Callithrix jacchus: one gene and its partners. The protein of the gene in region 1 purifies or fractionates together with the protein of each later gene. This does not show direct contact. Links are inferred from orthologs where the notes say so. Each region holds a gene or a part of one and is shown in the gene's direction. Other genes may lie near its edges. The genes, in order: NEURL4, CEP290 and ZNRD2.

The links.
Region 2: the proteins of NEURL4 (region 1) and CEP290 purify together in Homo sapiens (affinity purification with mass spectrometry; 3 studies listed by BioGRID and IntAct, with this or other methods). This does not show direct contact. The link is inferred for Callithrix jacchus from reciprocal best matches to the Homo sapiens genes NEURL4 and CEP290.
Region 3: the proteins of NEURL4 (region 1) and ZNRD2 purify together in Homo sapiens (co-immunoprecipitation; 4 studies listed by BioGRID and IntAct, with this or other methods). This does not show direct contact. The link is inferred for Callithrix jacchus from reciprocal best matches to the Homo sapiens genes NEURL4 and ZNRD2.

Annotation. Positions count from the first base shown.
Region 1 is NC_133506.1:73,806,701-73,812,885, reverse strand, and holds part of NEURL4 (neuralized-like protein 4), read left to right. Parts: coding exon 1-56; intron 57-265; coding exon 266-331; intron 332-478; coding exon 479-777; intron 778-939; coding exon 940-1,051; intron 1,052-1,143; coding exon 1,144-1,232; intron 1,233-1,764; coding exon 1,765-1,837; intron 1,838-2,004; coding exon 2,005-2,266; intron 2,267-2,490; coding exon 2,491-2,672; intron 2,673-2,974; coding exon 2,975-3,060; intron 3,061-3,184; coding exon 3,185-3,347; intron 3,348-3,435; coding exon 3,436-3,634; intron 3,635-3,725; coding exon 3,726-3,802; intron 3,803-3,889; coding exon 3,890-3,968; intron 3,969-4,327; coding exon 4,328-4,503; intron 4,504-4,583; coding exon 4,584-4,715; intron 4,716-6,018; coding exon 6,019-6,164; intron 6,165-6,185. UniProt on the Homo sapiens protein: Promotes CCP110 ubiquitination and proteasome-dependent degradation. By counteracting accumulation of CP110, maintains normal centriolar homeostasis and preventing formation of ectopic microtubular organizing centers.
Region 2 is NC_133510.1:93,051,720-93,057,904, forward strand, and holds part of CEP290 (centrosomal protein of 290 kDa), read left to right. Parts: intron 1-1,310; coding exon 1,311-1,380; intron 1,381-1,679; coding exon 1,680-1,726; intron 1,727-4,037; coding exon 4,038-4,181; intron 4,182-6,185. UniProt on the Homo sapiens protein: Involved in early and late steps in cilia formation. Its association with CCP110 is required for inhibition of primary cilia formation by CCP110.
Region 3 is NC_133511.1:122,652,942-122,658,549, forward strand, and holds ZNRD2 (protein ZNRD2), read left to right. Parts: upstream 1-2,120; 5' UTR 2,121-2,153; coding exon 2,154-2,172; intron 2,173-2,263; coding exon 2,264-2,415; intron 2,416-2,541; coding exon 2,542-2,626; intron 2,627-3,042; coding exon 3,043-3,386; 3' UTR 3,387-3,420; downstream 3,421-5,608. Other genes in the region: FAM89B (leucine repeat adapter protein 25), read left to right, coding at 4,336-4,626, 5,010-5,288. UniProt on the Homo sapiens protein: Might play a role in mitosis. Antigenic molecule. Could be a centromere-associated protein. May induce anti-centromere antibodies.

The DNA of each region.
Region 1 (6,185 bases):
CTTGGCCCCCCTTGAAGACTCTGCCTTGGCTGAACAGGGGACCTCTGCTGATGAAGGTAAGAAAAGAGCTAGGGCAGTGGTGGCGGGGTGGGGATGGAATGGGGGAAATAACAGTGACAAGACAGGCTGGGTGTGGGCAGGGCCATTCTGATCCCCAAGTCTGTTGAATGGGAGAGCGGGAGCTAGAAGATGGGGGGTCTCCTGGCTGTGGGCCCTGAATTAGGGACTGAACCCTTATTCCCCTCCCATCCTACCTGGTCCCCAGCCTTCATGGTGTCCCCAGCGCAGGCCCGGCCGGAGACGTTTCCTAACAGCCTTGAGTCGCATAATGGTGAGGGCTTTGGGGAGGCCCAGGGAAGGGGAGTGGGAAGTGAAGTGGACAAGGGAAGGCCCTCAGAAGAAGGGGTACAGAGAGAGGCACCAAGCCTGGGGGCATAGAGCCTCATCCCAGCTTTCTTCTTCCATCCTGCTGCTATAGACTTCGCCAGCATGGAGCTGTCCGAGGTGGTGAGCAACACCATCCTGTCTGCCTACAGTGGAGGGCTCCTGAATGTGAACCTGAGCTCCCCACCGGCAGGGGAAGGCCTGGGGTCTAGCGGTGCTGCCACCTCTCCCATTCTCACTTCCAACGATGCCCTGCTATTTCATGAAAAGTGTGGGACCCTCATCAAACTCAGCAACAATAATAAAACAGCTGAGCGCAGGCGGCCCCTGGATGAATTCAACAATGGGGTTGTCATGACCAACCGCCCACTTCGGGACAATGAGATGTTTGAGGTGTGCAAAGTCCTGTGGTCTGGTTGTCGCCTTGTCCCTGGGAGCTAAAGATGGGGCTTGGCCCTTGATGCTAGGAGGGTGGGCCCTGGGGAAGAACCAAGGGCTGAAGGTCCCTTTATGCATTTATATTCCCTGCTTTTCCCTTCTTTCCCTCAATGCCAGATCCGTATCGACAAGCTTGTTGATAAGTGGTCAGGCTCCATTGAGATTGGTGTCACCACCCACAACCCCAACAGTTTGGAGTATCCAGCCACCATGACCAACCTCCAGTCAGGTACTAGCCCTGGGCAGGGGTGGGGGTGCAGGCCTGGTGTTGCTGAGAGGAAGGAAGCCCATACCCCAACCTGAGTGTCCATCGTCACCTAGGCACCATCATGATGAGTGGCTGTGGAATTCTGACCAATGGCAAGGGTACCCGCCGGGAGTACTGCGAATTCAGTCTGGATGAGTTGCAGGTGAGGGTGGGCACAGAGCCTTGGGTCACTCTCCAGAGGAGCCATAGATACTCTGTCCCTGCCTGGGCACCAAGCAGGGTCTCTTCTCTGTGACCTGGAGCAAGTCCCTATGTCTACCTAAAGGTTCTAGGTAGGCTGAGTTGCCCAAGAATTTAGCACTCAGGTTTTGGAGTCAGATGGTTGAATTCCTCTTCCTGTTTGCCCATTTGTAGTGGCAAACTAAGGCAAGAAGCTTACCCTCTTTGGTTATTCCTCCATTCACTGCAGTCTCTAAAATGAGCCTCCAAGTAGGCTGATTCCATAGGCTGAGACTTGTCGAAGCTGATGTCTGTGAGGTGGTTTAACTCAGTGCCTGACTCATGTTGAGCACTGAGGAAATGTAGAAACTGTCATATCTGGAAAACAAGGGCCCAGGACCTGTCCTTGAGGGTGATCTGAACTCTGGTGAATACTTTCTGGAGTTGTTCCCATGCGGAGTGGGATACTGGGCAGGCCCTGGGAATCCTCTGAACTATTTTTCTTCTTTGAGTAGGAGGGTGACCACATTGGTCTCACAAGGAAGTCCAACTCGGCCCTGCACTTCTTCATCAATGGCATCGATCAGGGTAAGGGCTGCTCAGAGAGGGCCTCTGGGCTAGGGCATTCAGTGGGGCTGGGATTGGGGTCCTTACCTCATCATCCTGCTTCTCTTTGGTGCCTGGTCTCCCTGTGTGTGACTTTCTCCTCTCATTCTCCCTGCCCACTCCCGCACCCCTGTACTTTCCTGCCACAGGAGTGGCGACCCCCTTGACACCCCCAGTGGTATATGGTGTGGTGGACTTGTATGGGATGGCAGTGAAGGTGACCATCGTCCACAATAACAACCACAGTGACCGTCTCCGCCGGAACAACGCCATCCTACGGGCACTGTCCCCTGAGGGTGCTCTCCGCCGAGCTGCTCCTGCCCAGGCGGAACCCGAGCGCCTGCTCTTCCACCCCAACTGTGGCCAGAAGGCAGCCATCACCCACGAGGGACGCACTGCCCTGAGGCCCCAGTATGGCCCATGGAGTGGGCAGAAGCCTGAAGAAGGGGTTTGAATGGGAGAGGGGTGGGACAAGGAAGTGGAAGGCAGAGGGAGCCTGGCGGGGGAGCTTCCTGGAGGTTGAGGTTTAGCTCTTTGGCTTGGGGCAGTAAGTGTTGGCAGGCATTGCCGGTTGAAGCCTTGGCACACTGAGAGCATGTACTGGGGATCTGACTCTCCACTCACTGTGCCCTTAGTGCCACCGATGACTTCAATCATGGCGTGGTGCTGAGCAGCCGAGCCCTGCGGGATGGAGAGGTGTTCCAGGTGCGCATCGACAAGATGGTGGACAAATGGGCTGGCTCCATTGAAATTGGCGTCACCACCCACAACCCTGCCTACCTCCAGTTGCCCTCTACCATGACCAACTTGCGCTCTGGTGAGCTCCCAGGAAGGACAGGGCCAGGATAGGGTTTTGGGGGGAAGCTATTCCCAGAGCCCTGGCACTAGTTCTCCAGCCCCTTTTTTACTTGTCACTCTTGTGACCACTCATTCAATGGCTACAGAGTGCCCTGTGGGCAGGGAGCTGCAGAGTTTTCTTGTCCTGTTCAGGGAGGAAAGCCAGTTGTCCAAGAAAATGCAAGGTGGGCTGTCGGCTTGGGAGTCCTATAGGTGCTACTATGGAAAGGAGAGGAGCCCTGCGTGTCCTCTCATGTCCCCTACTGCTCCTTGTCCTCCCAGGGACCTGGATGATGACTGGGAATGGGGTGATGCACAATGGGACGACCATCCTGGATGAATACGGGCACAACCTGGACCGCCTCAAGGTGGGAAAGTAGGTGCGCTGCCGGGCAGCCGCAGCAGGCTTCACAGGCACCGTGGGGCTGACGCAGGACCAGCCCCGGCAGGAACTCTGCCTGACTCCTCACTCCAGCACCCCCTTCTTCCAAGGCAGGGGACACGGTGGGCGTGGTGCGGCGGGAAGATGGGACTCTCCACTTCTTTGTCAATGGGATGACTCAGGGCCCTGCTGCCTGGAACGTGCCTCCGGGCGTCTATGCTGTCGTCGATCTCTATGGCCAGGCGGCCCAGGCCACCATTGTGGACGACGTGGGTGAGGGCCGGGCTGGGCTGGGGCTTAGGGTGGCCTTGGGAGGTCTTAGAGACACCTAGAGACTTAAGAGTGATGTCCACTTTTACAGAGGTGCCTCCAGTTCCTGAGCCACTCCCTGAAGGGAACAACCAGGTGTCTCCAAGCTCCCCGTCCTCAGGGGCTGGGGGCTCTGACCTGCGCTTCCACCAGCTGCACGGCAGTAATGCAGTCATCACTAATGGGGGCCGCACTGCCCTCCGCCACAACTGCCGCAGCGAGTTTAATGACGCCATCGTCATCTCCAATCGGTCAGTCTCTTGACGTTCATGTCCCCACCTTCCTATTGCCTAGCCTCAGCCACCCAAGCAGAGCCTCTCTGATCACCAATCTCCCTGGCAGGGCCCTGCGGGATGGAGAGCTGTTTGAAATTGTCATTCAGAAGATGGTGGACCGCTGGTCAGGCTCCATTGAGGCTGGTGAGGGGCATCTGTGTGTGTGTTGGGGGGCTGCTGGATGCCTGTGCCTTGGGGGAGCAGCCTTGACCTACCCCTGCCTCTTCCCAGGAGTGACTGCCATTCGCCCTGAAGACCTGGAATTCCCCAACACTATGACAGACATTGACTATGACACATGGATGCTGAGGTCGGGCTTCCTGCTTTTGGGGCCAGCTTGGGGCTGGGTGGAACTGGCTGGGATCAGGGAAGCAAGGTTTAGGCCTATGGTGGCTGTGGGCAGTGGCAGACCTAGGGGATCTGCCTGTCCCCTCCCTTGGATTCTGGGAATCTCTACTCAGCCCCACAGAGACTCAATCCTCCTTTCTCTTAGGTAGTTCTTGCTTTTCCCTGAGAGGATCCCAGGGACAAAGGAGATAGGATTGGGCCTTACGCCCAGATCAAGACCCCAGCCCCAGGCACTGGAAGGTTCTGACAGGCAGGGAGTGGGCAGGGGCCCACGTGAAGATGAAGCTGGCAGGCTGACTCACCCTTCTGCCATCTCCCCAGTGGCACAGCCATCATGCAAGATGGGAATACAATGCGAAACAATTACGGGTGTGACCTGGATGCGCTGGGCACAGGTGCGCGCATTGGCATGATGCGAACTGCCAAGGGTGACCTGCACTACTTTATCAATGGCCAGGACCAAGGCGCTGCATGCTCGGGCCTGCCTCCGGGTAAAGGTGACTGTGGCTTTCAGCCTGCTGCCCTCAGCCCAAACCACCCTGGCTGTCAGGCTTCTGACCTTCCTTCTCCTCCCCAGAGGTGTACGCGGTAGTCGATCTCTATGGCCAATGTGTCCAAGTTTCCATAACCAATGCCACCGGCCCCATGGACAACAGCCTGGCGACCAGCAACACTGCCACCGAGAAATCCTTCCCACTACACTCCCCAGGTGTGTGGCAGGGTGGGGGCTGGATGGGCTCTGCTTGCCTGCTGTGCGCCTGAGGAGTAGGGCTTCCAGGTTAGAGAGGCTGTTCAAAGACAGCTGGCTGGGGTAGCCGACAGCTCCAGGGAGGGGACAGCTCACGGTGGCAAGCAGCCAATGATGGGGAGGTTATACCTGGCACGTAGAGCCTGGACAGGACACCATAAGCTGAGCATGCCAGGTTTGGAAATGAGTCTTGCTATGATGAAAAGAGGTGTCAGGGCCAGGCACAGTAGCTCACGCCTATAATCCCGGCACTTTGGGAGGTCAAGGTGGGTGGATTGCTCCAGCACAAGAGTTTAAGACCAGGCTGGGAAACATGATGAAACCACATCTCTACTAAAGTATAAAAATTAGGCAGGTGTGGTGGTGTGTACCTGTGGTCCCAGTTACTTGGGAGGCTGAAGTGGGTGGATCACTGGAGTCCAGGAAGTCAAGGTTGCAGTGAGCCATGATTGTGCCACTGCACTCTGAGTGACAGAGCAAGACCCTGCCTCAAAAAAAATAGAATAAGGCCAGGCACGGTGGCTCACGCCTATAATCCCAGCACTTTGGGAGGCCGAGGCAAGTGGATCACAAGGTCAAGAGATCGAGACCATCCTGTTTCAACATGGTGAAACCCGTCTCTACTAAAAATACAAAAAATTAGCTGGACATAGTGGCGCACGCCTGTAATCCCAGCTACTCGGGAGGCTGAGGCAGGAGAATTGCCTGAACCCAGGAGTTGGAGGTTGCGGTGAGCCGAGATCGCGCCATTGCACTCCAGCCTGGGTAACGAGCGAAATTCCGCCTCAAAAAAAAAAAAAATAGAATAAAGGCCGGGCATGGTGGCTCACACCTGCAATCCCAGCACTTTGGGAGGCCGAGGCGGGTGGATCACGAGGTCAAGAGATCGAGACCATCCTGGCCAACATGGTGAAACTGCATCTCTACTAAAACTACAAAAAAATAGGTGGGCATGGTGGCATGTACCTGTGGTCCCAGCTGCTCAGGAGGCTGAGGCAGAAGAATTGCTTGAACCCAGGAGGCAGAGATTGCAGTGAGCCAAGATTGTGCCACTGCACTCCAGCCTGGTGACAGAGCAAGACTCCGTCTCAAAAAAAAAAAAAAAAAAAGAATAAAGAGGTGTCAGGAGGCCCTGAGGAGTAATGGCAGATGCAGATGGGGACTTGGTGTCCACATCTTGTTTCATCTGAAAACTTTGCTCTGTGTTCTATCTGAAACTTGCCACCGCAATCCTACCCCTTCCTCTGGTGCCATGTTTTCACAGTGGCTGGCGTGGCTCACCGGTTCCACAGTACTTGTGGCAAGAACGTCACTCTAGAGGAGGATGGCACGAGGGCAGTACGTGCTGCTGGCTATGCTCATGGCCTTGTCTTCAGCACCAAGGAACTCAGGGCTGAGGAAGTCTTTGAGGTAGGCTGTAGCAATGTGACA
Region 2 (6,185 bases), on another chromosome or scaffold:
TAAGGTAATCTTTGTGAAAATACTTGATAATATCTACATCACCATTCAAAAATGCAATATATTTAAATGTGGCTTAAGAATTGTAGTGTGTAAAACGTTGCTAGTTTTTACTTAAAGTTTCTAAAAGGGTGTGTAGGGGAAACAGAATGAGTATATTGAAAAATTATATAGGGAGATATATCCTGAGGTCCAAATGACAAATGCAGACAATGGCTGTCTATAGGGATTTGTTAAGAGGGGAAGTGATTTAAGAGGTGTTGGAAAACTTTGCAAAGGATGAAGACTGAGGAGTAGTTTTAGTTAAGTGGAAGGCAATGCAGTGGTAAGATAGTAAGGGAATTCTAGAGCTGTTGGTTACCATAAGTAAATATTGAGAATAGGAAATATGCATATTCTTTACGTTTGAGAAGACAAGGTGCAGCAAGTTTGTAGCAGGCTGTAGAGAAAACAAATCTTGGGTAGGTACTTTGATAGAGACTGTTGAGGGCCTTAAAGATATAGTTTATGCTACCAGCAATTGAGAAGGCAATAAAGGTTTCTGAACCACAGTTGATAGGTACAAAAATATGCCTTAGGAAGGCAAAACAATATATAATATATGACAAATAGAAGGATTACTGGAGCTATATAGACATCACATTATAGAGGAGTTTAAACATGAAATTATGTGTTAGAATAATAACAATTGGAACAGAAAAAAAGTAGTGAAAAAAATTACAAAGGGAGATGTTGTATTACTGGATGTAAGACTTAAGACTTGAGGTAAAAGGGAGAATCAAAAATATTTCATGCTATTAAAAATAGAAATTATAATCTTAAGTAAGAAAGTAAGAAAGTTGCCTGGATTACTGCCTCACGTCCGTAATCCCAGCACTTTGGGTTGCTAAGGCAGGAGAATTGCTTGAGCCTAGGAGTTTGAGACTGGCCTGCATAATACGGCGAATAATACAGTGAGACTTTGTCTCTACGAAAAAATTTAAAGTCTTGCTGATCATGGTGGTATGCACCTGTAGTCCCAGCTACTCAGGAGACTGAAGTGGGAAGTTTGCTTGAGCCTAGGAGGCAGAGGTTGCAGTGAGCTGAGATTGTGTCGCTGCACTCCAGCCTGGGTGACAAAGTGAGGCCCTGTCTCAAAAAAAAAAAAAAAAAAAAAGAAAGAAAAATTATGTATTTATTTAACAAATATTTACTGAAAATCGCCATGTGCCCCCCATTGCTGACACTAAGAATCATAATAAATACAATTTTTGTTTTCAGTGCTTACATTCTAGTACAAAGGCATATTGAAATAACCTTTTTTTAATGTTTAGATGAAAGCTCAAGAAGTAGAGCTGGCTTTGGAAGAAGTAGAAAAAGCTGGAGAAGAACAAGCAAAATTTGGTAAGCAACTTGGAAAAAAGTTTATGGTATTAAATAATAAATTCCATGTGTTCATTAAGCTGTAGAAAATCAAATTTATTCTATAAGATGTATATAGTTTATTTTTAATATATAACATTTACTTAATAATAAGCAATTCTAGACTCCTATTTTATGGATCTGCCATATAATTCTTTTTGATACCTTATAGTCATGATGGAGTCTTTTAAAAGAATTAATTTTGTTATTTAAATTTATTTAAAAGTTTGTTTTGTGGTAGCTAATGTATGAAAACATTTGTCTTTTTTTTTAAAAAACAGAAAATCAATTAAAAACTAAAGTAATGAAACTGGAAAATGAACTGGAGGTATGTCTTTTTGTATTTCCTAGAATGTAATTGTCATAAATTTTATTTTGCATTGTTTTCAAATTTTAAAATTATTATTGGCTGGAAAAGTTATAAGGATGATAGTAATCATGGTTATTTGCTTTTTCAGTATATATTCTCGGATTGAGCATACAGTTGTGAATGAAATTAAAACAGTTAACTGCTATATGGAGCTTGCAGTCTTGGGAAATACATAGAAAGCTTACTAGTAACTGAGGTGGAGCGTGGGTGGGGAGTTGGGGAATAATGACCAAAGGGTTTTATAGAAGTAATTTTTTACAAAGCTGAGGGCTAAAGTATGAATGTATTGTTGAGGAACTAAATTCAGATTCCTGAAAAGGTAGGGATGGATCAGCTTTTGAAACGGATCAGCCTTTGAAAGAAGGAATACCCTTTTCCTTGTGTTAGGAGAGAAGGAAGAGTAGATGAGGGGAGGAACAGTAGATGTATGTAGAAGCCTTTATGTTTGTAGGCATAGTGCCTGGAAGTTGAGAGGTCAGTGATGATGTCATCTGTTAGAAAGAGTGGGAGATGGTGTGGTCACATTTTAAGAAAATCAGATAAAATTTGAAATGTAATGGAGAAAAGACTGGAGAGTTGGGGATCTGGAGTCAGACAGATTTGAGTTCTAGTCCTGATTCTTTTATTTGTTAATTCTCTGAACTTGGATGACTTGTTATTTTGATTGTATATCCAGCTCCTGGAAAAATGCCAAGTACTTTCAATAAATACTCATTAAATGAATTATGGAGTTGAATCAATTCTGTGTTAATGTTTAGATAGGCACCTGCTATACAATAGAAGAGTAAGACAGTTTTGAAGATATTGGTAGGAAAGTGGTTGAAGTGGTGATTATGAAGTCTCAACTGAATAGATAAGAAAGTCAAGATTGGGGTTGGGTGGGCAGAAGGGTAGGGATAAGGAGTGAGAAGTCGAGGGATTAGTGTCCTGTGAGGTCAAAGGACAGGCATAGTGGGAATAATTGAAAGAATGTTTCTGATTGGACAAGGATTTGATGTTGGTGTGTCAGTGAGAGATGATAGTGAATTCAAGAAACAAGAAAAAAAAAATAGACTAGAACAAAAGTTATGTGGAAATTGCTTGGGGATTTGATGAACGTCTGTGAGGCACATGCTTAAATTCCCAGTACATTTTGCAGAGTCACTGGGAAGTTGGTGGTTTGCTGCTACCATGAGTAGGTAAAGATGGAGAGCTGGATATCTTGTGAGAAAGCAGCTGAGGTTTTCATAGGATGATGGAGGAATGATAGGAATGATCACGTGAAGTTGCAGGGTAGAGTAAACCTAGAAGTACCAACACCTCCTCCTGACCCTAATGTATATGGGCTGTGAAAGAATGAGCACCTTCCAACTGAAAGAGTTCCAAGGGCATTAGTATCCTAAAGGATCCAAATTGCAGCTAAGGCAAGGAGATGGAAAGGATGATTCAGTAAATAATCTGAGGTTGTGAAATATTTATCTTGGAAGAAGACTTTAGCACAGGGAATGCTTTTTGAAGGAGAGAAAGAGTGTGAAAAATTTGGTTAAGGTAGAGGAAAAACAGAACTATAAGGTGAAGAGATAAATGTGAGACAGGTTAGATGACCAAATGATTTGATGTTCTGGGACATGACCTAAATTAACAAGAATATGAAATAAAATGGATTTAGTTGGCTACAAATCTTAAAGATAAATGAAACCTGAGTTGTTCAGTAAAGTGGCACTAACACTAGCTATTTATATTTCTATTTGTTAAAATTAAAATGAAAAATTTAGTTCTTCAGTTACAGTAGCTACACTTCAAATACCCAAACATAGCTACATGTAACAAGTGGCTACTGAACTGAACAGCAGAGAGAGCATGTCTATTATCCTAGAAAGTCCTGTTGGGCAGCACTGGTCTAAATAGTGCATGATATGAGAGAAAGGGCAGGTTAAGGCACTAAACTTCACTAACAGCGACGGAGTTTCTCATGGTTCGTACACGGGTTCCAGATCTCTGCGGCTTAGGACCTTTGCCTTTAGTCTGCTACCTGTTGGCCAGTGGTTACAACAGAATGATTAACAGTCAATTCTTTGTAGCTCTGGGTGGCTCAGGAGAAGTTTAAAGACTTACTAGCTGTGAACTAACGCTTAGGTAAGTTAAATTAAAAAAAAAAGATTCTTAATATGATTTTAAATATCTGCACTGAAATATAATGAAAATTTAAAGTCAAGATAAGTTGCTTATTGTTGAATCATTTGAACTTCAAAATATAATATAATTTATACTTTGGGTTTATTACTTTGAGATGGCTCAGCGGTCTGCAGGTGGTCGGGATACTCGGTTTTTACGTGATGAAATTCGCCAACTTGAAAAGCAATTAGAACGAAAAGATAGAGAATTGGAGGACATGGAAAAGGAGTTGGAGAAAGAGAAGAAAGTTAATGAGCAAGTAAAGCACTTTTTTTTCCATGAATCTTCACTGTTCAAGTTACCTGGCTTTTTATAATTATTGGTAACAATATCAATTTTTGTATTGTATGTTATATTTGAGGAATGATGTACACTTATAAGATTTTATAACACTGTTCATTTTGTCATCACAAATTTTAAAATATAATGGAACAGGTACTTTTAGTGAATATGACTTGAAGATTAATTCTTTATATTTGGAGGTACATTTTTCTCAGGATATATCACACTTACTACCTAAAATTGATGCTTTTGTCTGGAAGATTAGTGTCAAGAAACTAATAGACTTGCATAAAGAAGTGATCTTAGTATCATAGTTTATTTTGCATAAAAGTTATATTTGTTTATTTCAATGTATTTATATGATTAGTAGATTTGGAAATGAATCTTTTGATGATACATTCAATAATGTTTAATTAAATTTCTTGTTTTTGGTTGTATCCTTATATATGAGATATATATATATTGTTTTTGAAAAGTGTTAATCTCAACATTTTATCAATGATATTTAAAATAACATGTTTAATACATAGTTTTTATTAACTCATGTTATTCCTTGTTGTAAACTAATAATTTTTGCAGTGTTCCCTGGGATTTAGTTTTGGAAAAAAAGTTTTTTGCAGGTAAATTTGTATTTTCTTGAAGAAAATTTCCTATTTTACCTCAGCTTCTTATTTAATGTTTTATTTATTTATTAACATTTCTATTTAACACTTACTTGTTTTTTATTTCACCTCAGCTATTAGTAAACTTAGTAAAATTTGGTGCCTACATGTGGTAACTGTCCTGTCTCTTATACTCAGAAACATTTTTTACCTTTGTGTCCTTTAAGTCATTATTATGTTATATTCTGTTTATTTCATTTTGTTCATTATTCTCTCAGAAATAGAGGGTCATACATTTTAAGAAAACAGTGATATGCTATTTAAGAGAATCAATCTCACTTGAGACCCAGAGTTCAAAACCAGCCTGGCCAACATGGCAAAAACCCCATCTCCACTAAAAATACAAAAAAAATTAGTCGAACCTAGTGGGGAGTGCCTGTAATCCCAGCTAGTTGGGTAGTTGAGGCAGAAGAGTTGCTCGAACCCAGGAGGCAAGAGGTTGCAGTGAGCCGAGATTGCACCACTGCACTCCAGCCTGGGCAACAGAAATGAGACTCTGTCTCAAACAACAATAATAATAAGAGCATCTATCATAAATTGATTTTTAAGGGAAACTATTCCTTACAAATTTCTTACATGTATCTATTTTACTCCAAAATTTTAAAGAACCATATAAAAGCTATCAAAACAACGTGGTAGAGAAAGTATGGATTGATGCCACTTAAATGTTAAGAACAAGTTCTTAGAGCATTGTCTGGTTAGTTAACTCTGCAAAACATAACAGACATGTGGATTTTTTAATAGTTATAAAGGATCTAACTTATGATATTCACTGGTAGAATTGCCTAGGGGAATGCCTGTGGTTTTCTTGACTTTTATTCTTCTCTTTAGGCCTGTATCAGTTGACTTATCATTCATACCACACACTCTTAGCTAATCAGAACTACCTTGTCCATTTATATCTTAGACTATTATCTTTACTCATAGTTTCACACAGAGAAAACTTAAATATATGGCCTGTGTTCCTTTTCGGCTGCTAAGTTCCTTGAGATGAAATACGGATATAGTTGCTTTGGTAATTACTTCTTTGCCCTTAACCAGTCATTGAGTTTTAGTGAGTCTTTACAGCATACCAGAGACTGTGCTAGTTGCTAGTGATATAGTGGGCAACTATGTTCTGCTTCTCAAGGATATTTACAGTCAATAATAAGCATAACATAGTGATAATATGTTACTTAGGAAGATATATCAGGACATATTCTGGGATACTCTGGAGAGGGATGCCATAATCAGTCTTAAGGTTCAGGATGTGATCTGTGAACTGAGACCTGAAGTAGAAGTTAGACTGGTAAGAGGAATGAGAATGTATATGGTGGTTA
Region 3 (5,608 bases), on another chromosome or scaffold:
ACCCTCCTCCTGGCTCTTCCCCACCACACTCCTGGTTTTCCTCTCTGCTCCCTCCAGCTGCTCTTTCTGGTCTTTGGCATGACTCCACCTCCTCTGCCTGACCTGGGAATGGTGACCTTCCTGGGGCACCCTGGGCCCTCTTCTCTCCACAGTAAGCCCACCCTTTCCCGCTGTTGTAGATGCCCCCTGTATAACCCCAAGCCTCTGTCTCCAGGCCAGACGTCCTGTCTGAGCTGCAGACTCCCGAGTTTAGGAGCCTCCACTTGGAATGACTCACAAGCATGTCAAACTCAGCAGGGCTGGAACGGAGCTGTGGACCTTGCCCGTGTTTCCAACTCCTCGGCCTCCCTCTTCCTCGCCCATCCGGGGATCAGGCCAGGAAGTGGGGGCCATTCATGCCACCCACCTCCCCAGCACCCCCAGTTCACCCAGTGTTTATATCTCACCTCCCAAATACATCTCCCCGGGGCCAAGTGAGATCTGCTCTCCTGGGATGAAGGCAGGGCGCCCTGACACAGTCCCACGGCAATGAATACATGGGGGATAATACCCCATACAAGGTTGTCATGAGGAATAAATTGAAGAGATTAAGTGGGAGGATTCATCTAAGGGTCTTTGTAGGTGCCAGGCAGCAGAGACAATTGAGTGGACATCGCCATGATGGTAAAATAGTTCGTGCACTGAAGAATTCACAGTAGGGCTGGGATCTGAAGATGGTAATAACCTGGGAGTCTGTGCATGCAGGCTGAAGTCCAAGAGGTGGTTCAGAGACAGTTCCTCTAGTCAGCCTAAGCCTGGGTGCTGTGGTTCACCGCTGTAATCCCAGCACTTCTGGAGGCCGAGGTGGGAGGATCGCTTGAGTCTAGGAGTTGAAGACCAGCCTAAGCAACATGGCAAAACCCCATCACTGCAAAAAAATACAAACAAAACACAACAACAACAACAAAAAAACGGTAGCTCTAGTCAGCCAGACAGAAACGACTTGGAGTACAGACTCTAAGGTACGCAGCTGCCCAGGAGCCTGGCTGGTAGATGGACATGTGAACGGGGCACAGGGCTCTCTAGGTGAGCAGGAGGCAGCAAAAACGACAGTTCTAGGGGGACTACGTGGGAGGAAGATGGGGCCAGGAGGAGGGCACTTCAGGTCAGATTGAGGGAGCCTGTGCCATCGCGAGGGGATTGCTGATGTAATTATGAAAGTCCAGCTCCTTTAACACTGCCCTGGTGTACGACCTCGAGCCCGTGCAGACCACATCTGAGGACCCCTGCCTGCCCTGTCTGGCTTCTCCTAATAAGGGAGAGGATGCATGTGGAAAAAGAACACAGGAGAGAGAGAAAAGCACCAAGGTCCCTGTTCAGAGAGCCCTGGTAATTTTAACTTGCAACTCACCCAAGAAGAGCCTAACGGTCGAAAGAGTATGTAAGAAGCCCCCACCCGACCCTGCCCAGCACGCAGCACTCAAGGGAGGCTGTAACCGGAATGCGCGTGACCGGTACAGCGCTATTCAGTCCGCAGGCTTTTTGAGGGTTTCAACTTCAAAGAAAGGTCGGCTTCGGGGCGGACTTTGCTTCAGTCCCAGGCCTCGGGAGGCAGCGGGGAGACAGATTGGGACACCGAGCATGCACAAGGGGAGGGGTCTTGAAATAGGCGGAAAGCGAGAATGCTCCCCTCCGGGCCGGGTTTGCCAGGCGAAGTGAGAAGCACTGAGGCCTGAGGAAGCTCCACGCGCGCGCAAAGGGCCGCTCGCTGTGATTACTGGGGTGGCGATGGTTGTGAGGACGCTGCTGCCCCGCCTGTGCCGAAAGGGAAACCCCAGGGGAGGCGGAGGCCAGCGGGGACCTGTGGTCCCCTTCATTCACGACGGAAAGGGCTCCCAGATCTTGCGACTTGGAGCAGAATTACCAGAGACGCCCGTCCCGAGGCCCCGAGCGTCGAAAGTTTCAGTCCCCTGGATTCCGGCTGACGACGCGTTCCCCAGGCAGGTTCTCCGCAGCGGCCCACACGCCCCACTGCGGACTCAGCGAGGTGTGAGGACCACGATGAGGCGTCATTTCCGTCGTGATCCGCGGCCGCTGTGGAAGGGGCGGAGCCGCAGCGGAGGGCGCTCCGCTTAGACGTCATTTCTGGTGAGCCCAGCGGCGGCCACGGCAACATGGCCCTGAACGGCGCTGGTGAGGACTTGGGCGGCAGGGGCTTGTGGCTGCGGCTACGGGAGGCAGCCCCCTGCGGCAAGATCCCAGTCTCTATGCCTCTCTTCCCCAGAAGTCGACGACTTCTCCTGGGAACCCCCAACTGAGGCGGAGACGAAGGTGCTGCAGGCGCGACGAGAGCGGCAAGATCGCATCTCCCGGCTCATGGGAGACTGTCTGCTGCGCGGTTACCGCATGCTGGGCGAGACGTGCGCGGACTGCGGGGTGAGGCGAGACCCGGGAGAGTGACGGGATGGGGCGCAGGCCAGGCCATTCAGCCCTTCCTCGGCCCTCCCTTCTGGACCTCAGCGCCGCGTCTCATTCCGGCCCCATGTGCTTTTTGGTCCGTAGACGATCCTCCTCCAAGACAAACAGCGGAAAATCTACTGCGTTGCTTGTCAAGAACTCGACTCAGACGTGGATAAAGATAATCCCGGTGAGGGTAAAAAAAATAATCCGGGAGAGGTGTGTGATTGGCGGAGAAGCGTGATGAGTGGTGATAGAGGCCGCAGAACAGTAGGCCTGGGAGGTGACAGTGGAGTCTCTGGGTGGTGCAGAGGTAAAATGTTTTCTCTTTTAGGCTTTAAAGAGGACTATTCACTCAGTAAGAGCAGCAAGCACCTTCTGTGTGCCAGCCACTGCGCGAGAGTCTGAGCTCAGTCAGACCCAGTACTGATGGAGAGTTGAAGCTAGGGCATAAATGTGATACATAGTAGAAAGTGGATAAGTTGCCTTATAGAGGGACAGGGAAAACACCTCAAGCACAGAAAGAGCAGAGCAGAAAAGGAGATGACTCAGGGCTGAGGTGGGCCAGGCATCCTGACCATTCTACTCACTTTCTCCTCTTTTTAGCTCTGAATGCCCAGGCTGCCCTCTCCCAAGCTCGGGAGCACCAGCTGGCCTCAGCCTCAGAGCCCGCCTTGGGCTCTCGACCTGCACCCCAGCCCCCAGTACCTCGTCCAGAGCACTGTGAGGGAGCTGCAGCAGGGCTCAAGGCAGCCCAGGGACCACCCCCTCCTGCTGTGCCTCCAAATGCAGATGTCATGGCCTGCACACAGACAGCCCTCTTGCAGAAGCTGACCTGGGCCTCTGCTGAACTGGGCGCTAGCACCTCCCTGGAGACTAGCATCCAGCTGTGTGGCCTTATCCGGGCGTGTGCGGAGGCCCTGTGCAGCCTGCAGCAGCTGCAGCACTGAGAGTAGCCCCTGAGAAAAACCCTCTAGAAAAACAGCTGTTCCTCTGTGTGGTTTGTTCTTTTCCTGGTTCTGAGTGTGCATGCCAGCCGCAGCTCCACTCACTTTTTTCAACTTTTGGCCTCTCACCTCTCCACTCTCTGCTCTTCTTGACGCCCTGAGATGAATTGAGCTTGTTTCTGCTCAGTTTCCCCAGTCAGGATGAGGGATTAGCCAGAGGACTATGTGATGCCCCTTTTCTCAAGAAGAGGACATAGCCTCTTCAAAGGTAGGAGCCAGAGGGCTGGACCCTACCCTTGTCTCTGGCAGCACCTCTGCAACCTCTTCCGCCATCCGGTGCCCATTCCCCACCTGGAAGTGAGATTTTGGGTTCCAATCCTCTTGATAGAATCCTCTCTTCCCCTGAGCATTCTGACCCTATCAGCCTATCCCAGCCATGCCCACCCCAGGTACTCAGACACCGACCGACAGGAGTTTGTGGTGACCCCAGCGTCAAGGGGCACGTTAGGCACCAAGTGTGGACTTGCCAGTCTCCTGACTCCACTGTTAGATCATTTTCCTTGGGAGGGTAATGGACAGAACTGGGGGCGGGGGGGAGGCGGGGATCGGGGCGCGGCAGGGAGACGAGGCAGCAAAAGGAACCGCGAAGGAACCACGCCTGCCCCTTTTGGCCTTTCCCCCTCTCCGCCTCCCTTTTCCATCTCCCCTTGGGTGGGTGCCCCGCTGCCTTTTCTCAGCTTTGCGCGAGTGGTTCCACAGCTGTTGCCTTTTTAAGAGAGGCCCGGCCCATGCGGAGGGGGTGGGGCAGAGGCGGAGTCTGAGGAGCTTGGGAAGGAACAAAGCGCGGCCTGCGGGCGGCGGCTGGCTCCGGCGGGACCGCGGGGTGCGGGGCCTGCGGGCGGCCGCCCGGGCAGAGCGTTGAAAGGAAGAAGGTGGCATCGCCGGCCCGGCCATGAACGGGCTGCCCTCGGCCGAGGCGTCAAGCGGCGCGGGTTGCGCCCTGGCCGGGCTCCCACCGCTGCCGCGCGGCCTCAGCGGCCTCCTTAACGCGAGCGGGGGCTCGTGGCGGGAGCTGGAGCGCATCTACAGCCAGCGCAGCCGCATCCACGACGAACTGAGCCGCGCCGCCCGCGCCCCGGATGGGCCCCGCCACGCCGCGGGTGCCGCCAACGCGGGACCCGCAGCCGGCCCTCGTCGTCCTGTCAACCTCGACTCGGCACTGGCCGCGCTGCGCAAGGAGATGGTGAGTGGGTGGGCGCCGGACCAGCGGAGCGCAGACACCCAGACAAGCTGCCTGGGTCTCAGAGAACTTGCAGGCACAGGTCGGGTTCCAAGGGTTATGGGAACGATAATTAGTGATAGTTACCAATTACGGCAGTAGTTACCCTATATTTCCAGACGTCTTGATGACGTTACTTCATTTCATCCCGCTAAATGCATGAGAACCCCATTTTTTTAGGAGACGGTCAGGACTTGCCTAAAGTTGCAAAGCTCGCAGGTGGTGCCTGACGTCCACAAAAACTTTGTTTAGGAAGGTGCTGGGAAGATGGGCCCAGGATTCCAGGGCATGGGGCTGGGCTGGGGTGGCCTGGACCCCAACTCCAGCCCACCCTCAGTTGTCTGCAGGTGGGGCTGCGGCAGTTGGACATGTCCCTGTTGTGCCAGCTGTGGGGCCTGTACGAATCAATCCAGGACTACAAACACCTGTGCCAAGACCTGAGCTTCTGCCAGGACCTGTCATCATCCCTCCATTCAGACAGCTCCTACCCACCTGATGCGGGCCTGTCTGATGACGATGAGCCTCCTGATGCCAGCCTGCCCCCTGACCCGCCACCCCTCACTGTGCCCCAGACGCACAATGCCCGTGACCAGTGGCTGCAGGATGCCTTTCACATCAGCCTCTGAAGAGCTGGGGGGCAGATGGGCATGCGCCCCTGCAAAAGGCTCAGAACCCCCTCAGCAAGCCCTCAGACTGCAGAGCGTTCGCCTCCCCACACCGCCTCACCTCACAGGAGGGCCAGGCATGTGTCCCTCAGAGGCGAGACTGCCAAACCCCTTCTCCTGTCTTGGGTTGGCTGGCACTGGGGCGGGCACCTAGAGTACAGCCTCTGCCCATGGCACTGGGCCTCCACTTTTTCCACATATGTGCACCCCCAGCTTGGCCAACCCTCAGCCTTGCAGTGGAGCCCAAAGCATCTTCCCTCTCCTTGGCGTCTCTGGGATTG